Mytilus edulis: one gene and its partners. The protein of the gene in region 3 interacts with the protein of the main gene of each other region in a pairwise test. Links are inferred from orthologs where the notes say so. Each region holds a gene or a part of one and is shown on either strand. Other genes may lie near its edges.

Region 1 (7,995 bases), on a different chromosome or scaffold from region 3:
AGACATCAACCCGAACAAAGAGTAAAAATCACAACCGAAGGCATGTCTAGAAAAAATAAGTATACCGTGGAAACTAGGTTTGGAATTTATGTGAGGTTATTTGTGTTTCTGTACGCTGGAGAATGAATGAAAATAGCGAAATTGTCAAATGAGTTGCAGAAATCTTAGATTAAATTCGACAAATATTGTTGTACTTTGGGCATAAATTTTAAATAGAAAAAACAAAACAAAAAAACAAACAAAGGCAATTGAATTTAAGAAGGAAGAATTCATAAAAAATCTACATTTCAGATACTATCGATACCGATTGAAATTGTAAAGGACTTTATTATCTAGGAGTAATCTTTTAAAACAAATGGAAACTTTATGTTATGCAAATCCCCATTAGCAGAAAATGCAATTAAGCAATTATGAAATTATAAAACCAGGACTTGACATAATCTTTCTTTCATTGTCCAACTAACCTTTTTGATAAAACCTGTCAATCCGATTTTGTAATATGGTTGCAAAATGTTGGGATACACTGATTTTAAATTTAAATATCAAATGCTGACTTTAAGACAAGACTTTGTATGGTTTTTGTTCCGATTGGTTATTTCGGTTGAAAACATTATAAATTTAACTAGTATGGGTTTTCCTAAAAACGGAGGTATCAACTATTCCATATTGACAACTGGATTAAATGTTAGATCATTCAAAACAAACTTTACAGCCAATGCTAATAATTAATCTAAAACTATTAATTATCGTCTTTTCAAGGAAACATAAACTTTCGAAAGATTATTTTAAAGCATACTTGGAGATAAAGATATCTTCACATTTTGAAGATAAGGGCATTTCAATCATAACGTTTCTATCGAGAATGGATTGATTGATTGATTGTTGGTTGCTTAACGTCCAGTGGCAAATATTTCATGCATATTCAGGACGATATCGAGAATGGAAGATGAGCAAACATTCAAAGGGAGAAAACAAAATATCGCATACGTAAAAGTGACAAAGGCGATGAATTTCATTATTTCATGATTTGCCCATTCTTCACAGAAGAATTGAAGAAATACACCAACAAGTCATTTAAACGATGGCCGAAGTGAGCCGACAAAAATACTTTTTAAGACTCATATAGTACTGCACAGAAAGTTTGTACATAGAACTATCTTGTTGTTTTATCTATACAAGTTAATCCGGAAGTAAAACAACAAGATAGTACTATGCACAAACTTTCTGTAAAGTACTACACAAGTTTCTTGGAGAATAGCATCGTCACTTGTGGCAGTGCTTTTCTTGATTGTCTTTTTTAAAAACTTTGCATGAAGGTTTGATACCTTGATTACAAATTTGAAATAGTTATATTGTCAGGAGAAATGAAATGCAAAACTATTTTTACAAGCTATTAAACCCTTATAAATAAGAAGATGTGGTATGAGTGTCAATGAGACAACCGTCCACCCAAGTCATAAAGTATAAAAAGAACCTTGCAATCTTTATAATTGTAGGTGACTATTTTCAATTTTAGAACTTTAAGTTTCAAAAATCAAAGTTCTACTAAAAGTTTCTTTAAATGAAAACAGTTAGAAATGAACTTGAATTGCTGACGAAAACAAAAAGGGGGGAAGACGAATATTTTTTTAACAAAATACTTCAAGTAAATTAAAATAATAGACCTATCAAATAGTCAAGTTTAAATAATTTGCACAATGTACATAACTACAAATACTTCTATGAAGCAAAAACCTATTTCACAGAAACGCTACAGTAGAGCTGCCTTAAAGTTTGCATGTGTGCTATGTTTTAATTTGTGTTTGATTTTAGTTGTGCTAAAATTTTAGTTGTGATTCAGTTTTGGCTTGTTCAAATATGTATTTTAGTGCTGACAGTGGTCTGCATGTATTTCAATATGCCTGTTCTGTTATATATCTTGTCTGCATGTTGTGTGTTTCAATGATCTGTTAATGTTATTTTATATTCGGTAAAAAGCTCTTCCGAGGTTATGTTTGTATTGTTATATATGTGAACCGAATCAAAATAACAGTTTCGTATTCGTATTCGTTAGTTTCAAGTTTGTTTAAAGAGGTAAAAAGGTGTATGGTTCTTGAATTACTGGCCTATAGGTAATAGAAGTGTTGAGCTGAGAATACGGATTAAAGATCGCTACTCCGAGAAAGATGACTTTAGAATCATTTTCAAAACAGTGTGGCTGTGGCCATTGATTGACGACCTAAATTATCCCATTGACTGGGACAGATTATGTGAACGTTTGTCTGTAACGACAACTGCTCACTACTTACTTATTATAGAATTTAAACCGTGGGGTCATCAGAGGTTCTTAGCGCCTTTAATAATAAAACAGTTCGAAAAATTAATCACGATTAACTTTTATGTTTTGATTTATATTATTGATATAGATCAAAACATCGTGTTATTCCTGATTATTTTTCGAATTACTTTATTTAGGTGTTGAGAACCTTTGGTGACCCCACAGTTTAAGTGTCTTTAATAAGTACATAGTGAGCCGTGATCGTATCAGACAAGCGTTCACCTTATAGTGTCCCAGTCAATGGGATAATTTAGGTCGTCAATCAATGGCCACAGCCACACTGTTTTGAATATGATTCTATTTTAAAACCAATACTCTTCAAATTTACTTACCATTGTAAATAAAACGACACCCATACTCCAAACATCTGCAATCATAGGATCATAAGGGGATCCTTTTAAAATTTCTGGAGGTGCGTATGCATAGCTTCCGCAATATGTTTCACTGGGTTTAATTTCTCCTAATTTTCCTTTTACAAGTCTCTTCGCAAATCCAAAATCTGTGACTTTCAAGTTTTCATATTTATCAAGCAACAAATTCTCACATTTGAGATCTCGGTGTACAATTCCTTTACTATGCATATATCCTATACCTTGTGACATTTGATAAAACCATTTTCCAGCAGTATCTTCTTCTATTGCTTTTCGTGAACGTATAACATCCAATAGATCAACATGGCCACATTCCATCACTAAGAAAAATCTCGTTGTCGTTTCTATTACTTGGAAAAATTGAATTAAATATGGATGCTTCAAAACTTTGATCACGTCGATTTCTCGCGGTAAAAATTTAACTAAATAATCTTCCGGTGCCTTCCTTTTCGAAATTATTTTGACCGCTACTTCGTGTTTTCTGTTGACATCATAAGCTGCACGGACACATGCATATGATCCTTGACCTAGAAATTTTCCTACTACAAATCCTTGTGACTCCAAAACTGCGAAACGCTTATGTAGAACTCTGCTTTTTGCAGAGGAAACTGAAATAGCTTCTGCTGGTGTTTTCACTCTATTGTCTTCTCCATTACTCATCTTTTCTAAATTTCACTATTAATGAAGTCCATGTTGATATTTCTGCGACCAAGAGCATTTTTCATTGTAGACGTTTGATATTCGTGCAAAGAAGGCATCTTGTAGTTACAGACATATGCAAACGTCACAAGCGGTACTAAGGACGTCTTATGGTATATATCACAAACGTCTCAACCATCTTTAACGTCATGTTCAAACTACATAATACAGCAACATCGGCGCTAATCGACAAGCTATCGTAAATCATTTTTCTACTGATTTTCAAGTAAAGAAACAAGATATACATTTAATCATCCATACTTCATATCTGCACAGGATACATTTTCACCTGAAAAGAACTCGACTGATAAAAAACACATATTGATAAAAACAATATCCCAAAATGGTCTATGCAAGGACATTAATCATGTGTTGACTGGCGAAAATACCCATCGAAACAAACATTATGTTTGCTACGATCCACTTGTTTTCTTGTCTCGCTTGACACTAATTTCACGGTCCACTGAACATAGAAAATGAAAGTGAAGGTAGTTTTTGATGAAATTGAAGTCCAATCAACTTGAAACTTAGTACATATGTTCCCCATGTATAGTATAATCTTTCTAATTTTAATTCCAAATTAGATTATTACCCAATTTCACGGTCCATGGAACATGGAAAAGGATAGTGCGAGTGGGGCATCCGTGTACTTTGGACACATTCTTGTTGTACACTATTTCAAATTGTACATGAATTAAAAATTGTGTATCGAAGGCCACCCGATGAGAAAAAAGGACATCATACACCCGAAAGAACAATAGATAGATAGTAATTTTTCTTTTAACAATTTATTTCGGCTAGGGATGTAAGGAACCTATTTATATTTTTATGCCCCATTTATGGGCACTATGTTTTCTAGTCTGTGTGTGCGTCCGGCCGGCCGTCCGTTCGACCGTCTGTCCCGCTTCAGGTTAAATTTTTGGTCGAGGTAGTTTTGAATGAAGTTGAAGTCCAATCAACTTGAAACTTAGTAAACATGTTCCCTATGATATGATTTTTTAAAATTTTAATGCCAAATTAGAGATTTTATTCGATTTTCACGGTCCACTGAACATATAAAACGATAGGTCACCATACGGCCTTCAGCAATGGGCAAAAACAATACCTCATATCTAACTATATATAATGATGAAAAGGCCCCGACATGCCAAATGTAAATACTAAAAAACTAACGTACTGAATTGTGAAAAATAACAAAATTAAAAACGGCTTAGTTTCTATTCTTAACAATTTCGCACCAGGTAATACGACGAAGTAATTATAATATAATCAGGAGCCTGTAATTCAGTGGTTGTCGTTTGTTTATGTGTTTCATATTTGTTTTTCATTCATTTTTGTACATAAATAAGGCCGTTAGTTTTCTCGTTTGAATTGTTTTACATTGTCATTTCGGGGTCTTTTATAGCTGATTATGCGATATGGGCTATCCTCATTGCTGAAGTCCATATGGTGAATTATAGTTGTTTTAAATTTCTATGTCATTTTGGTCTCTTTGGCAATCATACCACAGCTCCTTTTATATATATATATATATGTAATAATTATTTGCGTATTTCATTTTATCATTGAAACTGATTCAATATTCAGATAATAAATTTTGTTTATTAATTATGTTATCACTTCGTCTGGACTGACCGTCCAAAGATAACCCGATTATCAAACAAACAACGTCTGTATCAACAGCTTACATTTTGACACCATGCAATACTATGTATTTTGCGGGTTGCTTTTTCGTTGCGTTATATGTTTGGGTGAGTATTTTTATGAGTATTGATGAAAAGAAATAATTAGCAAAATGGGGGGAATACAGAATTTGAACACCACTGCACTGGTGATTTTTGCTTGTTTTTTGTTGTGGCATTACATATAAAACTTATGTTTTTATATCTATTTGAATGCTTTTCGTATACTATTTTGTTTTGTTCTTTTTAGTTTGTTTGTTTAAAATTGTATTGCCACAAACCTTGTAAATGTTTAATGACAATTAATAAAACTAACCCACGAACCTGTTTCTATTGTTATTTTCATATCGTATAGATACTTTACTTTTGAACATATTTTGTAAAATGACGAAATTAAAAAAAAATGGACAGAACAAGCATTTTTAACAAGTCGTAGGCCTCCTCCAATATACACAAAATAAACACGTGCACGACGATTGTCATAAGACAATGTTTAACATACGTACGTACACTTGACTTAGAAATATATAACATGTGTAAGGAAAAGGCTAAGATAATATGGATTGTATAGTATATGGTGTTTTTATTTATCATTTGTGAAGTTTTTTGTATACTACTGAGTACTAGAACATATGCCCAGAGTACAATTGCTCTAAAATTCGTTTATTGTATGTAAAATACATACAATCCTCTCATTGGGTAGATAGAAAAATGAAATATTATTGTTTTGCACTAACTCCAAATTGTATTTTAGGTATTAACACCTACGTAGATACTGGTAACCCATATACAGATCGTCCATTAAAAGTTGGCGGACTGACACTAAGCAAAACCGGACAAAAAAGTCCTTTACACACAAAAGGTAACTTACTATACAGCTTTGATCGGCGAGAAGTATCGATCAACAAGAAACAGTATAATAAACATTACCACAAAGTCAATAGATTCAAAAGCAAAATGTAAAGGACAATTCCCAAACATGTTAGCTTTGTATAAAATTGAGAATGGGGAATGTGTCAAAGAAGCAACAACCCGACCATAGAGTAGACAACAGCCAAAGGCCACGTATTAATTATACGTAAAAACCATGTAATGAATTGTAATAATTCTACTTTTAATGAGATCTGTAAAATATTTCATTGTTTTGTTCTTAAATGAAATCGTCTATTATGTGTTTGTTTTTGTATAATTCTAAGTTGTTAGTTTGAAAGATAGATTTACTAATTTTCACTTAAAATATTTTCTTTTTAGTTTATTTCCCACTAGAACCCGGATTTTACCCGGCTGTTTTGTTTATTGGTGGTTTCGATACGTATGTGTTGGCTGAGTACTATGAAACTGTACTTTCAAGAATAGCCTCCCATGGTTTCTTTATTTTTGGAATAGATTACGCATTTCCATTGGAAAAACAAAATTTGATAAATGCTGGCGAATTAAAACAGGATATTTCGAAGTACTTTGAACAACATGCATGGGTGAGTAATTTAATTCGGATTGCATGCAGAAAATGTGTTAAGATATATTCTTACTTATAACCAAAAAAAAAAATGTAAATTTTGAAAAGACACCTGTATTCTAATCTGGTCCCAATCCGTTTTTTGACGAATTCAAAGTCATTCGCTATGGTATAAAAAAAAATACGCTGAACAAGAGAAAAAAACAAAAACAAAAAAAAAAACTGGTGCAGACACTTCACTTTCTTTGTCTTTGAAATGTTTCACCCTCAATTATAACAAATTTTTACTCAACACGTGCCTTTACCTAGTCGGACTACATAGACCATGCGTATGTACGTCTGTTGTTTTCGGAGTCATTGGCTGTTTTGTTAATGAGGTCTTTTATATTGTCTATAATATCATTAATAATTCTGTTCTCATTTTTATGTATTATTTCCTTTTCAGTTGGGCTTTAAACATAATGAAATGTTCTTCATACTACATTTATATGTGCTTTTTAGCTTCAACACTATATGACAAACAAAACGTTAGGAACAGTTGCATGGAACACTACAGCTTTGATGTGTCATTCCTCCGGATGTGACGCAACATTGAAAATGATCAGAGAAAAACCTACTATGTTTACGGTAGGTATAATATCTCTATTTTATCGTCATTCACTTGCATGTTTATAATATATATCAAATGGAGTAAGTAAACAATGAGATCAACATTTATTATCATATTTACTATTTTGATATCATTGCAGATACATTCGTGTTTAGCTCACCTGGTCCAAAGTGATCTTTATTTACTAGCAGCAGTCCATAAATTACAGCTTTAGAACCGTAAACGGTTTATGACAATTAACAGTTATCAGAGGTTAAAAAAGACACTTTAATATTTGAATAACCTCCACTCACACCAACCAACAGTAAGGATATATATAAAGGAAGACAAAAGTGATAAAAAGTCTAGAACGCAAAATACAAATTATATTTTACAAAAAAGAGTGAAAAATACCAAAAGGACATCCAACGTCATTAGACGAAAATCATGAAGCTTAAAACGCCATGGCTAAAACAGTAAAAAATACTTTAAAACAAACAACAGCATACAAAATACGAAATAGAAAAATAAAGACAGAGCATCACGAACTCAACCATAACCGGGAGTGATACCAGGTGCTCCGGAAGGGTGAGCATGATAATTGAGCATGATAATATGCTCCACACGTGAAACCTGTCGTACAAATTATCAAAAATGAAAATTTAACCCTGTCAATTATGCTTTCAATCTAAAGTTTATATCAGTTTGCATATTTTGTAGTCAACAATATTTCTAGAACCAGTGAGTTTTGATGTCAAAGAGAAAGTAGATATACGCATGCCTGCGTTTATGTACGGAACAGAGCTTTCCACGGTGGGGCATCAGTGCGTCATACCAGGATTTAGTTATAATAAATTCTACGAGATCTGGGGATGTCCAAA
Region 2 (8,712 bases), on a different chromosome or scaffold from region 3:
CCTTTTTGTCATAAATATGATGAATGTGTCGGCATTTTCTTTTCGATCCTCAAGTCACCATGGAAGAGTGTATGAATGAAGACTTTCGTAAATTTAGAATTGAATTGAAGTTATCAAAATAAAACTATGCCTTTACAGAAACATCGCTCATCTCAACTTGTGATTGTGAGCGACAAGCAGACGTAAACATGGAAATTAATTTTGGAGTTATTTCCCCTGAAAAAGCTTATTACAAAATTGTGCTCCTAAAATATTATCTAGCACTAAAAATAGGAAAAAATAACCAATTGAATACAAAATTATATAAGAATGTTACCTTAAGGATATTAACAGTCTTTGAACATACAAAAAAAAATATATTGCAATTTATTTTTGATAATCATACTTTTGGCAATCCATGTTTTATACATTGTCAAAAAAGAAATATGAATTTTTAAAGTTCTGAACAGGTGTCCAAGCTATGTACTTTCTAATCTGAAAGTGTGCAGTTAAACTCTCATCACAAATCAACTTGATGAAGCTACACTAAATAATATATTGCTGAACATGAACAATGAAAACAGGTGTTGAGGTCCAAGCTCTAGATGAAATTTTTAAAGTACTCTGTCATGTACATGTATGGTAAACTATGAGATGTTTAGTTTATGATCTTTCTTTTGGAAGGAGAGGGGGTGGGGGAGAAAAGTAAGTTTATTTTGCCTCTTTTGGTTAATAGTATGAATGTGTATTGCCATGTTTTATGAACATGTAGTATGAATGACTTTTCTTATGCAAATTTTATAGAATAAATAATCAAAACAACAACTTATGCATCTTTATTAACAATATATACAGAAAAAAAATATGTGAAATCGTGATACACTCAGGGACGTAGACAAAAAAAAAATGAGCAGTGCCTTCTCCTATCATAAAAAAGTGCCCTGCCCTCCACTGGCACCCTGCCCCTTTTGAATTCTAGCTAGAGCACTGTATAACATTGACTATTTATAATTTAAGATTCTGAATAGCATATTCATATATGAAATGAAGATTATACATACCCCAAATCAATATATAGTTATCAAACGTAAATGCATTTTTATATAGTATGTTATAAAAAGGAGGGTAATTTTTATATAAAACCTCTCAAAAAAGGGGGAGGCAGTGCTGTGTATTTACTATTAATCCATTTATGCAACAATTACCACTTGTGGATCAGGATAAAATAACATGTGCTTCCTGTCATCTAACAAATTTTAATTGGAGTGACAGTTTAATTTGAAATTATGGTGTTTTTTTAAGTGGTGCAGATGATAAGCCCAACATCATTTTGATGTGATTTCTCTGGCTTAGTTGCAAGACTGTATTTATGTTATATTTAGTATTTCTAGTCTGGTTGGTCAAGCCATTTAAATCTTTTTCAGTTTAAATTAATATTTGATGGTTACAGTATTGATCCTTCTAAGAGGAACGATGACTTTAAGGCAAATGAACAATAATTATTTTGCAAAAGAACCTCTTTACCCATTAAAATAAGAAATTTGCATTTGAATATATATAAAACCCAGATTTTGCTTTACCATTGATTTTTGCATGAGAAATTAAGTATATAGGATAACTGTGATTTAAAATTCCATTGCAATACCACAAAAGCAAAAAAAAAATATTCATTTGCTTGTGTTACATGTAAATCAAACCTTATAATATTCAAATACTTTACAAGCATATATAGTGTGTGATCACTCAATAATTAGTATTATAAGACTGGTATATAGTTAAATTAAAGCAACTGATAAAACAGAAAATTGATTGTTGCTTACCTCCTCCAACTGGTGTCTGGGGGTGGTGACAAGTAAGCTGATCCATAAGGGGAACAATTTGTCTGAAAAAAAAGTATTTGTGTTACAACTGTTTATCACTTCAGAAGAGGTCCTTCAATGCCACTTAGGAAATTTGTATGCAAAAATCAAGTAACATGGGAATAAAATAAGAAGGCTAAGTTAGCTTAATTTAAATCATTCTGTTTAGGAGTGGTGCCTTTTTTTCTAGAACCAGATACATGATAGCTATAAAAAATCAATGTTTACAAAGGTGTATTCAAATGGTGCAATTAGTGATCAAATAGAAAGTACTATTAATCCTAACAATGTTTGTTGAGATTTATTTGTCCAGTAGAAATTTTACCTAAAAGGACAATAACAAGGAATTTGTATCAAGTTTGAGACCCCAAAAAAGACACAACATTTTGCCATGATTTAATAAAAACTTAATCTGACAATCACACCATTTAAAGAAATCTTATACATGTATTTAAAAGTCATTGAAGTGGCATTACTGGCACTGCTTCCCTTAATGTGACCTACATGAAGTTCATTTTTGTAATTGTCTTGTTACAATTTGGCCATAAATTCAAGCATGTCAGATATTATAGTAAATAAAAATTTCCAGTAACTTTTTTATCTTATAATTCTATCTTGAGTAATGTTGTGCAAAATCATTTAGGCCAAGTAAAACAAATTGCAGCAAATTATAATAATGCCCTGGAACTATTGCTGGAATCATTTTGTCAGGAGTGTACATGGTACATATGTACATGTATATGCATGTGTATGCAATGTGCATGTATGTCAATCAGTTATCCAACCTAAGTCACAGCCATCTTTAAATAAATCAAGCAGAAATAGACATGCCATTTGCACCAAAATCAGCAATACACTATATTGTGATTTGTTCAAATAACTTCAATACTGAAAACTAGTTGAAAGTCCTAATTTATCTAATATCAACTAGTATGATGCCGAGCAGTAATATGCATTTACCCAGTTAACTTCATCCAATCAACATTGTGCTTATTAAAAATAACTGACTTACTGGACTCAATAATGAATTGGGGAAACTAATGATATTTTTCCAGACTAAAATATCAAAGAAGTTTTCATATACAACTCGTGTTCAAAATTATGTCAGTGTGACATCAACCTGAGTCAAACAAGACATTTTCCCAAAAGAACCTGTTAGCTAGATGTGAAAAAACATATAAGTTAAAGTTAATAAACTGTGTGTACCCTAGCTTTATCAATTGGAAATCCTCGTCTGTGCGGACCGAGTGGTCTCCCCTTGTCTCTGACTGCATGGAATCTACTGTCCATCCGGTTTGGCATCTGTCTCAAATCATCCAAATGTTGAAATGCACTCTATCAAATAAAAGATAACAATTCAAATAATGTTTCATAACAATAATATTTCATTAACATAATCTATAAAATGTAAACAATAATCACACGAGACGACAGTTATGTCAACATCGTAAATATCTCACCTGTAGATCTATACCGGAATTTGCCACCATCTGGTTGACATTTGGTAAGGAACCGGCTCTGTACTGTGTACTTATGTTTTGTTGGAGTTGAAGATGCTGCTTTTGCATCGACGGGACCTACATATAAATAAATAACAGCGAAAATTAGTTTCATGTTGACAAAACACGATTCATTAGTCGACATAATTAGAATGCTACCGATAAGGCGTTTCAAGCGACAATAATAACAAACCTTCGTAACAGGCGTAACATCCCGCATTATTGCCTCGAAAGCAGCAGTTTCTTCTGCTTGTTTTTGATTGTGTAATGCTATTTTTTCACTGAACTTCCGTGGATTCGCCATGATGGCAGAAAAGGACAAGCTTGTTATGATTTTGACTTCGCAGGGGGCCTAATCTATTGTTATCCAATCAAATCCATCCGTGTAATACATGTGATCTTTGATAGGTGGCAGCACAACAAGCACCTGCTAATCTATATAATGCTGAATTTTCATAATTTAAAAGAAAATCAGTAACAATAAAAGGCTTAAGCAGTTAAAAATTCAGTCATATTAATGATATATAAAGATTTAAAATCTCGAACTCATTTATATTTAATGTTATCATACAATCTGAGATTACATGTAGCTATCGAGACGTTTCGGCCACACTGCCAGTTCGTCCACTGGCCGTTAGGTTACAGTTAGTGAAAAGACGATTTCAAGTTTGTTTCTGCCATATTTTGTTCATATTGTTTATCGATTAAATAATGTTCTGAAATCGAATTGTGGAGGTCCTGAAATATACTAAAATAACCAAAGGAACGCAGTTTCACTTTCAACATAATATTTCGCAATGCTGACACTCATATGCATTTCCCGAGTGGACTGATTTATAGCGGCTAAACACCCATTTAATACATGCGTAACCAATCTCTAGCTGAGGGATTTAATTAAAGGTCACATGAATACGGATTCAATGAGGTCGAATTGTTCACTTGCAAGTGAATAAGTTATCAGCGAAATTTCTTAGCTTATTTTGCTGACAAATAATATATTGTACAAAATCGAAATGATAAATATCTGCCAACTAAAACGCAAAAAAAATGCTTAGCAATAGATATAAATAAATGATCCTACCGAAAACACCACCCAATATTGGCAGAATACCAATAGGTCATATCCTTATAACAGTCCGAGGTCATGAACATGTTCACGGTGAAGGGTCTGTCATCATTTAACTGCATGCTTTTCATTTTTTGCCCGGAATGTGTGCAGTTCTTGACGATTTTAAAAACTTTGGACGGCTGTAACCGAAAGGTGATAATCATTTCAAATTTATCATGCTGACCTTCAGAATCCAAGCACTGAACGTTTCGTTTTTACTGCTCACAATATCCGACACTCTTAATCTAAATACGCAACGGAAAATTCATCATATATACTAGTAAAACAAAAATACAATAAACTTTTAGCCACGATTATAGTCTTTTGTTGGCGATTGATAGACATATCTTTTATCGACGTGGACTAAAAGACATATCTTCTTATTTCGACAGTGGCTGATATAGACAGGGACTGACAAGCATATCTTGAATTTGGCGTAGCTCCATTATTGCAGTGAGACCGTGATTTACTGCCTCACCAATTATATAAATGTGACCATCGAGACCTATATCGCCAACCGTAGAACTCGCACAGAAGGGGTGTTTAGTGTTCGTTTGATTATGCAGCATGTCACTCAATACTCTAGGATCCAATATAACGTAATTTAAGTATCCCCTTTACAAAGTTGTAGTCTAAATCGACTATCCTTCGTTCCATCGATCGACCTTTTTTTCTGAACCTAAGTTGAGGTTGGATTTATTTATTTGTTTGAATAAACCTCAGAGGTTGACTTGGGTATGGACATGTGTGACCTCCATGATATAGCAGTAAACATATGCTTAAGAAGGGCGTTAGTTTGGTTATAGTCGGATGCACAAGTTCACAGAATCATTCGATTGGAATGTGGACGTTTAATAAGATGCCCAGTGTTGGGAGAGTGCTACACCCTCTTCACGTGGGTCATCAATGCTCTTGAACTTTGTACTGTTTGGCTATATAACAATTTTGATCTGAGCGTCACTGATGATTCTTATGTAGACGAAACACGCGTCTGGTATATTGAACTACCTTTGATATATTACTAGTAACCCATGCAACGACTCTTTCTGTTATCCACAATGTTAGAAAATTTCGGTCCATGTCTATACCCTTCTTCCCCAGTGTAAGTGGAAATTCGAACCCTTCATTCTGGTCAATCTATTCTGCAGAACCTATTTATTTGATTATTGTCAATCCGTCATCTACCTGAAACAAAACCTGAGATATTTTTTTATAATTTCAACTTGTCGCTTGACAGTCAGCAGAGAACAATCAATCGAATAATCAAACACGCGCCTATAACATTCGACTTTTTACTTCAGTGTATGACATGATTGCAACTCCTTTGAACAATCAACTCTGGATTCCTTTCCGAATCCTTGAACGATCCGATGAAAGTAAACATAGAAAATCACTCTGGACGCACTAAACTGTTTTACAAATATTGTATTGAAGGTTCTTAACAAAATTCTTAATTTGTTCTGATCGGAGGTTTTTTTTTTTATTCCTAATCCGGAATTAAAAAATATTTCTTTCTAAAAAGAGAAGACCAACATTATTGGGAAAGAAATTGAGGGGCATCTCATATAAACTGTTAACTTTCTAAGTAATTACTTCAAGGTTACAAAACGTCCATCAAAACAGTAGCCATCGTCTTTCGCTGACTTTTTTAATAGGAACTAAATTAATGCCATGCTATACCGTGTCAACTTGAAAATATGTATCCTGTACACGTGTTGCTAGATTGTTGTTTCATAAAATTGAAAGCTCATTTGCATCATTTCGCATTTCGGTTATCAAAAAATTCTCCTTGCCGATTTCTTTCTACCTGTCTAAGTCTTGATACATCTAACTGTATTTGTGGTAACTTTTATTTTCAAGTCCAATGACATAGATGCCACCAGCGTAGTTGAACTTTGAATCAGGTAGGAAATAAACTCCTCATATATACCAGGATTGAAATTGTGTATTTGCGCCAGACGCTCGTTTCGTCTACAAAAAACTCATCAGTAACGCTCGATTCCATAACAGTTTAAAAAAAGACCAAATTAAGTACGAAGGTTAGGAGCATTCAGGGCCACAAATTCTTCTTGTATATCGTGAAACGTTAATGAACGATGCTAGCTTAATTTACCCCCCCCCCCTTTCCGAGTTATTTTTATGTTTTCTTTATGCAAAAACTGGAACAAGTTGACGAAAAACGGTTCATCACACTTTTCCCAATGGTAATACCAAATGCACCAAATGAAACAATGATGCAGTCGATTCAAAAAAATATGCACCCTGTTAATATTAGGACCGATACTTTTTTGTAAGATTTTCTACAAATTCGATTTGTAGTCAACTGAAGCAGTGACAACGCTTTAGGAAAAAGTTATAACTCTTAAATTATTACAGGGTAAATGAAGTCATAACGCACAGCATCTTACAACACTGATTGTCTATTAGTCAAAATTTCCATAACCAATCCTTTAAACAGGTTTGCTTTCACAACTTTCAACTTAAATAAATCAATGGTTAACATTAACACAATATATATATATATATATATATATATATATATATATATATATATATACGGTGCACACATGTATTTAACTATTAAATCCTTTGTTTACATTTCCAGGTTGATACAGCGTATATATCTACATACATGTATTTACCCCATATCCATAAGTATTAAATAGGTTAAACTGACATGTTTCATTAAACTATAACGTTTACATTAAACATATATACTCGTCAACTGAAAAGATGTAGAGTTTGAAATATTTTTAACAGAAAACAATTAAATTAAAGGACTTATATAAAATAAAGACAAGAAACGTGTGTAGCGCTATCATAATAACATCTGTCTGAACTTTTAATATTTCATTTCAATGTATAACAAAAATGTTTTTCTGTTACAAATCACAATGTATTGTTTTATTTGTACATGTCATGCTGCACATCAAGGGTCCTTGGTTGGAATAATACATATGATTCTATGTCATGCTGCACATCAAAGGTTCTTGGTTGGAATAATACATATGATTCTTATTCTTATTAAAAAGAAGTTACTCGTCTTAACTCGACTAATTCTGTTCCGTCATCCCAGAATTAAAAAGAAGTCACTCGTCTTAACTCGACTAATTCTGTTCCGTCATCCCAGAATTAAAAAGAAGTCACTCGTCTTAACTCGACTAATTCTGTTCCGTCATCCCAGAATTAAAAAGAAGTTACTCGTCTTAACTCGACTAATTCTGTTCCGTCATCCCAGAATAGGAGAAGAGTATCAGATTCATACAAGGGTTGCTGGTTGTAAAATAAGTTTAATACGATCCGTAATATTTGTTTACTCACATTTTTTTAAGCAACTGAAGAATATTTACAGCGACATCATTTGTACCCTGGTGGATAGTTGACTCATTGAACAAGAGAGGCGACAGCTAAGAAAGGGACATTCAAAATCATAAGTAGCTAAGGCTAAAAAAGAAAAAGAAACCAACAGACAAATAAAAGTGCACACACATAACATAAAAAAAACTAAAGACTAAGTTTATAGTGAATATTAACCATATATCAAGGGAAAAAATATAGGAAATGCAAAACCTGGAGTATCGTATTAACTGGGAGATATAAACTCCGTATGCAGGCGCTGCTTGAATGTTTGTACATACAAACGGAAAGTTCACAATTGGGAGGTTGAAATTATCTTTTTTGTCTCACAGTTTTGTTTTCAACCGACCCTCATTGTCAATTTCTAGATGTAAGTCAAAATATGAGGCAGACTTAACTGTATCCGTTGTATCATTTATCTCTATTTTGATTAGATAGATGCGCTCAACATGGTCACCAAATATTGAATTACCCGTATTTAGTGAGAGAACATCATCTATGTAGCGGAAAGTCAAGTTAAAGAATACTGCTTACAAGTAAAGAATACTGGTAACTTCTTTTTCTTTTTCTCCAAGGTGTTCATGTTTGAACAAAGGTAAGAGTCGACAAGAAGAGGGACACAGTTGGTTCCCATGGGAATGCCGATTGTTTATCGAAAAACACGTCTTCCAAACGAAACAAATTGTTGGCAAGAAAAAAATCAAGCATCTTGATAATGTCAGTTTCAGAGTTTTGTTTTGTTAGAATCAGAGTGAGTTTTTACAAAGTAGGATGTATCCCTCCCTAAGATAAGATATTTGTTTCTACGTTGGCCATTTTTTTTATGAAACAAAGCAGGACCAACTCTTTCAATTTGTATTCTAGTTTATAATGGGGAATATTTGAGTAAAGAATAGAAAAGTCAAATGTT
Region 3 (8,335 bases):
CATGTATAAAAGTAATGACAACAGCTCACATAGAATTACAATGCAACACAGAGCTAAAAATACATTTACCTATATGATGGTCTCCTTGACAAAATTTCTCGTCTTTTCTTTCCTTCAGGGTCTTCTGTCAATTCATCATCTACTGGAGCTACCTAATCAAATATTTCATAACAAATTATATCAGGATAGTAACAGAAACAATAAAATAATTTACATGAAAATTAATAATGTATACAAAAATACAAATGTATTTACTTGCATGTTTACAAATGTTGATATTATTTACCAACCAAATGTTTTTCCTAGAAATTTTTTCAAGGATGGTTTAAGTAGTCTTCAAATGTTCAGGATAAGTGCTTATCCATGGCCTATCATATAAAGTACATACAAGTATATCAAAAAGAAGCACAGCAACAATCATGACAATAGCGCTGTTTATTTACTTATTTTGTTATTAAGGAGATAACTGTATTGTATTTTAAGCTCTGATGGCATCAATTGGGGATTTGATGGTCGCAAATTAAGTTTACTGGTGACGCGTTAGCGGAGACAATAAACGGGTGTTTGCAACCATCAAATCCCAAATTGATGCCGTCGGAGCTTAAAATACAATATTGTTATCTCCATTCTAATGAAACTGACAGAAAACAACGTTAAAACATGTATTTAAAAACTGTCATATGCCGTCTGCGCTTGTGCGTACGTCCCATAGCATCAATTGTCAATTGATGCCATGTAAGAAAGTGACGATATCCAATCAAAAAGAACGTTACAAACGTTGTTGCATTAGAATCCTTCTTCATTGTTTTACCATGTACATTTGTACATCCATTTTAAAAATATCTTTCCCTTTCTAGTCTGTTGGATTAAAACTTACCCTTACAACCTGTATAGTCTGTACATTAGGTCCAGCTGTTTGAATGACTGAGGGTTGATTTGGGTGTATAACGGACTGTACTTGGATTGGTGTATTCATGGACATCTGTACAACAGATAAGCCTTGGGAAGTATCCAGGTCTCCATGAGCATGATGAGATGGATGTACCTCTGTCATCTCTTACGGACTCTGAAAAATATAATAATGAAACTAAGATAAATCAGAGTGCCCACCCGTATGTGATAGAATATTTCTCTTGTGGCACAGTGCCACAAGAACAAGAGAAATATTCTATCACATACTCCAAATAGAATGAATAGAAAAAAGACCATCTTTTTCAGTTTCAAATGAAGTATTTGTATTTGTAACAGTATTAACACATACATACATTTGACCAGCTGCCAACACATAACATACATTACACAAACATAAGTATAAACGTGTATTTTAATGAAAAGAATCTAGCATTTGACAAAATATACAATGTATACTGGTATATGGTGGTAATTACATTGTATGCACCCAACTATAAAACTGGTACATGCATATGGTGGTAATTTAAATTACATTGTATGCACCCAACTATAAAACTGTCATCTGTTGTAGTTACACACAACTTTAATGAATCACACATCACCTAGTCTGGGATCAAAAACAATTTGTGCTGAAACCAGTGAAGGTTGCAATGGACATGGAAGAAATCACCTGACCAACTTTTAGAGTGCTGTTTTTATACTACAATAGCTTGACAAACATGTATGCAAATTATATAAGATATCATTAATAGTATCAATTAATAACCAGATAATGATTTACAGCTCATGAAATTGGAATAAGAGAACAGTTTTCCAATTCCATTGTTTAATATAATCACCAACGCATATAATTTATCTGTTTAAGAGTAATAACTAAAATATATTTATCCTACAAGAAATGTCAAATTAATGTACACACAAGATTACTAAACAATATTAATTTCTATGGAAAAGAGGCACAATATTGTTGTACATGTATGTCACAATTTCGCAATCCCCCCCCCCCCCCCTTTTGGTTGGTAATACAGGGAATCACTGAAACATGATGGGAGGAGGTCCCCTCTTAGGCAGTCAGTGGACCAAAATAGACTTAGTAGTATTTATATTGTTTAATTGCAGAAGTGCTTACCAGTATACATTTAAAAAAATAATATGAATAAATTGAGAAGCATGACAAATCGCCCCACTAATGAAAAGAGGTAAAATCTGATACACAATCAAGGGGAATAAATTCTGAGGATTTTGATGACAAATTCTAACATGACGACTGATTTTAAGATTTATGCATTGAACCAAATATATGATCTTATCATTATTTGTCTGCCAATTATACTGGACATTAAAATTTTAAAAAGGTTGCCACAAAATGGAAAATTTTTAAAGGGATTGTTGTATGACAGTTTAAAATCCAGTGTAGCAGATTTCCAAATAGAAATAATGTCTAAAGACCTTATAGCTAAATTAGACTCTGAAACACTTGAACTAAATGTATTGATGTCATAAATGTACATGTTCCTCCTGTTTTGTTGCATCAAAACATCTCTTTTGACTGGAATGTTTGCATGACCAGTAATGGATGGACAAATAATAGTGGTGAGAAATATTTGCACTTTGAAGTAATTTGGTGTACTTATGGGACCAACAGAATAGCTTATTGTCGACCACTGATGTTCCCGTAAAATTCTATAATCAGTTTTTTATCGCAAGAGAAAATAATGCCATAAAAAGAAAAGAGTATTTAAGAGTCAATTCCAATGGCTCAATGTCATTGATTTTCCAATTGTCAATAAGACCTTTACAAATAACACAGTAATGTCATGGCTGGTGATAGTGGTGTGCACTAAATCAACCTCATACAGGCATGCGCCGGAAAGTAATCCTCAAAAAGTTGATGGTATTCCCTAACTAAAGAAGAAGAGAAGAAAGAAGAAGCATGTTTGATGTCAGATTGGACAATTTTTGCAGGACAACAAATTATGATTTTATTTTATGTTAAATTTGACAAATATAAGTAGTCTAATAATAATCATATAATGTATACCATTATAAACATGATATAAACAATAAACTATACTGTTTAGATCTGTTTACTCTTTATTTTGAACTGAAATATAACTGGGTAATGCATTTTAGATTTGATGTCGAGTAAAATATGCTGAGTTGCTTCTCTGACATTTTGCTTAGTGAAACTGACCCATATTCTCTCTGCATTCTCCTGTTCTATTTTTACTTGTTGAAAAGTCCGATTTCCAGAGTGGGACAAGGTACATCAACAATCTGCTTCTTCCGGTTAATCTTCTGAGTCAGCTGTTGTTGCTCTCACAAAGTTCCTTTTGTGATATAAATCACATTCAAAAATTTGATTTGATCGTTTTGAAAATAATGATCCCCTCCGAAGATAAGCGTATTCTCTGTTATCAACTTGTTTGTTTTGTTTCGTCAGTGGAGTACTTACTTGTTACGTACTTTTCGTCACCAATTTTGCAGTAATCGGAGTGGATAAATTTGCAGAATACGTAGTCGCCACGTCAAAATCTGGCTGCAGCGTCACAATCAGGAACAACAAAACTGCTGAATAATATATTCATCCGCGTGGATTTCCTATTGCACGATACCTGATTGGTTAACTTATCTCACATGACGTCATACTGTCCAAATATAGACCGTACTACTTTTTTGTATCTTGCGGGTATAAAATTTGATTAAATTCAAACTGAATTTGATAAATTACTTTTTAAAGAATTATTTTTCTTTCAAATTTAATAATTAACAATCTGTTGGTTTATACATAAATTTCAATTTCAACGTTTCATGTGTTTTTATTATTGCGGCGTAGTTAGCTGGTTTGGTATTTAGTAATTCGCCAGGAAAGATTCAAAGTACTGTCACCCGAAATACACGGGTGTCTCACGGGGAGTCCTATATTATGTAATTTGATATGTATTCTGTCATTTATTGGATTTTCATTTTTTGTTAAAATCTTTATGATCCCCAGGGGGCCAAAATTTGTTAATGAAATTGATATTGTCTTATCCAACTATAGGCTACAAATCATTTTCTTATCTTATAATTACTCTAATTACTATAGTAATTAATTAATTGCCTCAAATTCGAAAGTTTTAGATTTTAGTTGTTTATATGATTCCGATATCCACAGCCCTATAGATATAGATGTCGACATATATAAATGTACATGTGAATATGGATCTGTGCCGATTAATTCGATGAGCGGAGAGAAAATAAAGAAATGGGATATAAACAAGAAAGAAGATTTTATTATAAATTTAAACAGAGAAAAGATTTCTGAATTAGAAAATTATCTTGAAGAAACCAAATCTTTTCATGCTGATTCAAACATTATTAACAAAGCTGTAGAAAATATTACGAACATATTTGTTACTTCTGCAAAGAAAACATGCGGAACATTAAAAAACAAGTCAAAGAACGAAAATACCCCTCAGAGTACAAGATCACAAGATGAAAAACCATGGTTTAACATAGATTGTAGAATTGCTAGGGAAAATGCGAGAAAATACAGAAGAAAATATAAATTAAACAAATTCATTGTAAACCATGAATATGAAACGCAGTGAAAGACAATACAAAAATACCATGAACAGAAATATAAAAAAGTATAGGAAAAATGTGCGAAATGATATGAAAAATATGAAAAACACGAACTCAAAAGAGTACTGGAAAATTCTAAATGGAGGCTCTAGGAAGAAACAACCTAATATTTCATTGAAAAACTTTATGATTTCTTCAAAAATTTAAATCAAGGAAATATAGAAGAAGAACAAGAGCTAAACTACGAAGAGATTGAAAGAAATATCGAAAATAATTTATTAAATGAAATGATTACGCCCGATGAAATAATAAGAAATATAAAAAATCTTGAAAAATAACAAGGCAAGCGGTGATGACCTGATTATAAACGAATTCTTCAAAGCTACGTCACGGTGTGCTTCAACAGAAATCGTTAATATCTTTGTAAAGTTATTCAATCTTATATTTGATACAGGAATCATACCAGACAGTTGGTTATCTGGAAATATACATTCTTTATTTAAAAATAAAGGAAATCAACAAGATCCGCAAAATTATAGACCAATCACTATTCTTAGCTGTTTTGGAAAACTGTTTACGTCCATCCTAAATGAACGATTAACGAAATATTTTGAAAACTTTTCAATAATACATAACAATCAAAGTGGCTTTAGGAAAAAATATTCAACAACAGATAACATGTTTATATTACAAAGTCTCTTCGACCTAACTAGATCGCAAAAGAAAAAGTTATTCTGTGTTTTTATTGATTTTGCTAAGGCGTTCGACACAGTTTGGAGATGGCATTGAATCACATTGATGGAACAATGCATACATTAATTAATACATAGTATGTACAACAATATAAAATCAAGAGTTATATACAATAATCAAAAATCTGATTTTTTCCCCATGTAACACTGGAGTTAGACAAGGGGAAAATCTTTCCTCTCTATTATTCTCGTTATATATCAATTAATGACCTCACTTTTTTTTTCTATCACATAATGTGAAAGGTTTGTCATCAATATCGAACTCCCCTGAAACTAGCCTCAATATCTATTTAAAGCTGTTCGTTTTATTATATGCCGATGATACTGTTCTAATGTCAGAAACAAAGGAAGACCTTCAAATGCAATTAAATTGCTTCGGTGAATATGGTGATACTTGGAAACTTAAAGTAAATACATCTAAGACTATAAAGTTTTAATTTTCTCTAAAGGAAGACAGCCTAATAATATTAATTTCATTTATGAAGAAAATGAAATTGAAATAGTGAAAGAATTTAACTACCTTGGACTATTGTTAACAAGATCCGGATCTTTCAATAAAGCAAAGAAAAGACTATCAGAAAAAGCAACAAAAGCTATGTACAACGTTATCAAAAAAGGGAGGCAGTGTAATTTATCAATTGAATGCCAATTAGAGTTATTTGACAAACTGATGAAACCAATTCTTCTATACGGATGTGAAGTATGGGGATTTGGAAAAAAACACATTATTGAACAAGTTCATCTCAAATTTTTAAAGCATTTACTACACCTCAAGAGATCTACCCCAACCATGATTGGGTACGGTAAAACCGGACGATACCCATTGGAAATAAGCATTAAATGTCGAATGATAACATAGAATAAAAATAAAAACAGTGTGGCTGTGGCCATTGTTTGACACATTAAAAATCATCCATTGACTGGGACAATTTACGTGAACGTTTGTCTGTAATGCCCGCGTCACACTGTCCCGATTTTTATATACGATGGACACCCGAATGCTGAAATTGTAAGTTCGTACGAAGTTGGTCCCGATCTCGTTAAAATACCAAAAAGTGACCGAAGCAAGTACGACGAATAACGAAGTTTATACGATGGTGCCGAAATTGTATACGATAGCAAAAGATGGACATACGAAGGTTAGCCGAAGACGGGTATTTAAGCTTCATATCTCAGCCGTAGCCTACACGATTGATCACGAAGGCTACACGATGGATTACGAAGGCTACACGATGGATTACGATGATGGCGCGATGGCCATACGATGTCTAAAAAATACGAACAGAATTTCGACAACATATCGTTCCTGTACAAGTCTGCCATGCATGGCGGGTATTCAATCTTTTTGTCTAATTCTTATAAAACTTAGTTTATTATCCCCTCGCCTACTCCATGTAAGTTGCGTGTAGATAAAATTGTTATGGACACTCTGGAACCAAAATGCTCAAAACTTGGTATGGTGTTACTCGTTAAGAATATCTTAAGCGCTATTGACTTTAAAGTTCAAAGGTCAAGGTCACAGTGGCAGTTGTAATACAAGGCAATATCCCCCTTGTGGACACTCTAAAACTAATATGCTTCAAAAGATTTTAACCACATTTGGTATATTGTTCCTCCTTGTAATGATCTGACATTTTTTACGTTCAAGGCCAAAGGTCAAGGTCATGTAGATGGACTTGTTTTTTTCTCCTTGAAATAGCATAATACCCAGGAAATTGGTTGCTCATTTTTTTACCTGCTGGTTCTAAAGACAATATTAAAGGTATTTCCAGGTACTAAATGTTTTGGTTGATTTCTAAAAAAATAGTTTATTTATCAAATATGCATATTCAATTTACCATTTTCTGCATGTGTCATATATACAAATACAGTGTCCATATTTGTCCCCAATATGTTACATACGAGGGGATGCCACGCTCGGCATTGCCTTGTTTGAACTGTAAAATGTGTGCACTAGTCTGAATAATCACCCATAATTATGCCCATGTTTACTGATCTGTCTTAAAGGTAAGGTAATGGGTTCGTTGATCCCTTTTATTCAAAAAGAGCTCTTTCCAGGAGAATATCACAATAATATAGACAAAAGGAAGGATGTGGTGAAAGCAACAAAGGCTGCAAAATATGACATATAGAAAACAAAATGGTTATGGAGTAAACATTCGTGTGACAACAACTCAGACGATACATAAAAAATCAGAATAATAAATAAAAAGTTGGTTTCCCTATATACGTGTACCTGCAGTGTTTGTGTACGAGGCGCGTTTATTTAAAGGAACCCCAGCATGTAATGATATGAAACAATCCAGATGGAAAAGGCCTGAACATATCGCTCTTATCATAACTAACGTTTTTGTCTTTTCGTGTTGTTGTTGTGAATAGAAGAAATTGAATATGTTCCGACATTGTCTAATATAAATTAAAAACTCTAAATTATTTGTCACCTTTAATTATGTTACTTGATATAAAAAATTGACAAAAAATAATATTTTACTTGTAAAAGTAAACCCTGAGCCTGTAATAGCTGATCTTCTTGTTCCATTTGAATTAATAGAAACAACGCTGTTGCCTTTCTTGTTCTCATAGAATCATATAATATGAGCTCCATGTTTTGTGAACGTCTTTCTTAACTGTCGTATTGGACTGACCAGTTCATATCGCGCATGGCACTTTAAATGTATTTTAGCGCGAAAATTAACTTTCATTTAGCTGGATTTATTGCCGTCGTAGTTCCATCTTGTCGTCTTCGTACTTTTATTCGATGGCAACACGACGGGATTACGAGGTCTTCACGAAGTCGTGTTGCCATCGTAAGACCTTCGGGTACCTTCGTGATTCATTCGTGTAGACATCGTAATGTCAAAACTGCCCAATGGAAACGATGGAAACACGAATGCAATACCATGTTTAAAGATGCATTCCCGGTGACATTACGATGGTGAGGATGGTGATACGAACTCAAACGATGTTTACACAGTATATAGGGAAACCAACTTTTTCTTCATTATTCTGATTTTTTATGTATCGTCTGAGTTGTTGTCACACGAATGTTTACTCCATAACCATTTTGTTTTCTATATGTCATATTTTTGCCGCATTTGTTGCTT

What was found.
Region 1: the proteins of cAMP-responsive element modulator-like (region 3) and testis-specific serine/threonine-protein kinase 4-like interact in binary tests that used the Homo sapiens proteins (3 or more experiments, as listed by UniProt). The link is inferred for Mytilus edulis from reciprocal best matches to the Homo sapiens genes CREB1 and TSSK4.
Region 2: the proteins of cAMP-responsive element modulator-like (region 3) and CREB-regulated transcription coactivator 1-like interact in binary tests that used the Homo sapiens proteins (3 or more experiments, as listed by UniProt). The link is inferred for Mytilus edulis from reciprocal best matches to the Homo sapiens genes CREB1 and CRTC1.

The regions. Positions count from the first base shown.
Region 1 is NC_092348.1:65,301,537-65,309,531, reverse strand, and holds the start of testis-specific serine/threonine-protein kinase 4-like, read right to left. Parts: upstream 3,477-7,995; 5' UTR 3,349-3,476; coding exon 2,650-3,348; intron 1-2,649. Other genes in the region: uncharacterized protein, read left to right, coding at 5,087-5,138, 5,824-5,931, 6,321-6,544, 7,027-7,152, 7,835-7,995. UniProt on the Homo sapiens protein: Serine/threonine kinase which is involved in male germ cell development and in mature sperm function. May be involved in the Cre/Creb signaling pathway. Phosphorylates CREB1 on 'Ser-133' in vitro and can stimulate Cre/Creb pathway in cells.
Region 2 is NC_092347.1:28,357,892-28,366,603, reverse strand, and holds the start of CREB-regulated transcription coactivator 1-like, read right to left. Parts: upstream 3,692-8,712; 5' UTR 3,642-3,691; coding exon 3,531-3,641; intron 3,416-3,530; coding exon 3,299-3,415; intron 3,174-3,298; coding exon 3,045-3,173; intron 1,862-3,044; coding exon 1,800-1,861; intron 1-1,799. UniProt on the Homo sapiens protein: Transcriptional coactivator for CREB1 which activates transcription through both consensus and variant cAMP response element (CRE) sites.
Region 3 is NC_092345.1:72,167,310-72,175,644, forward strand, and holds the start of cAMP-responsive element modulator-like, read right to left. Parts: upstream 3,515-8,335; 5' UTR 3,368-3,514; exon of another isoform or gene 3,107-3,367; intron 1,067-3,106; 5' UTR 1,055-1,066; coding exon 878-1,054; intron 153-877; coding exon 70-152; intron 1-69.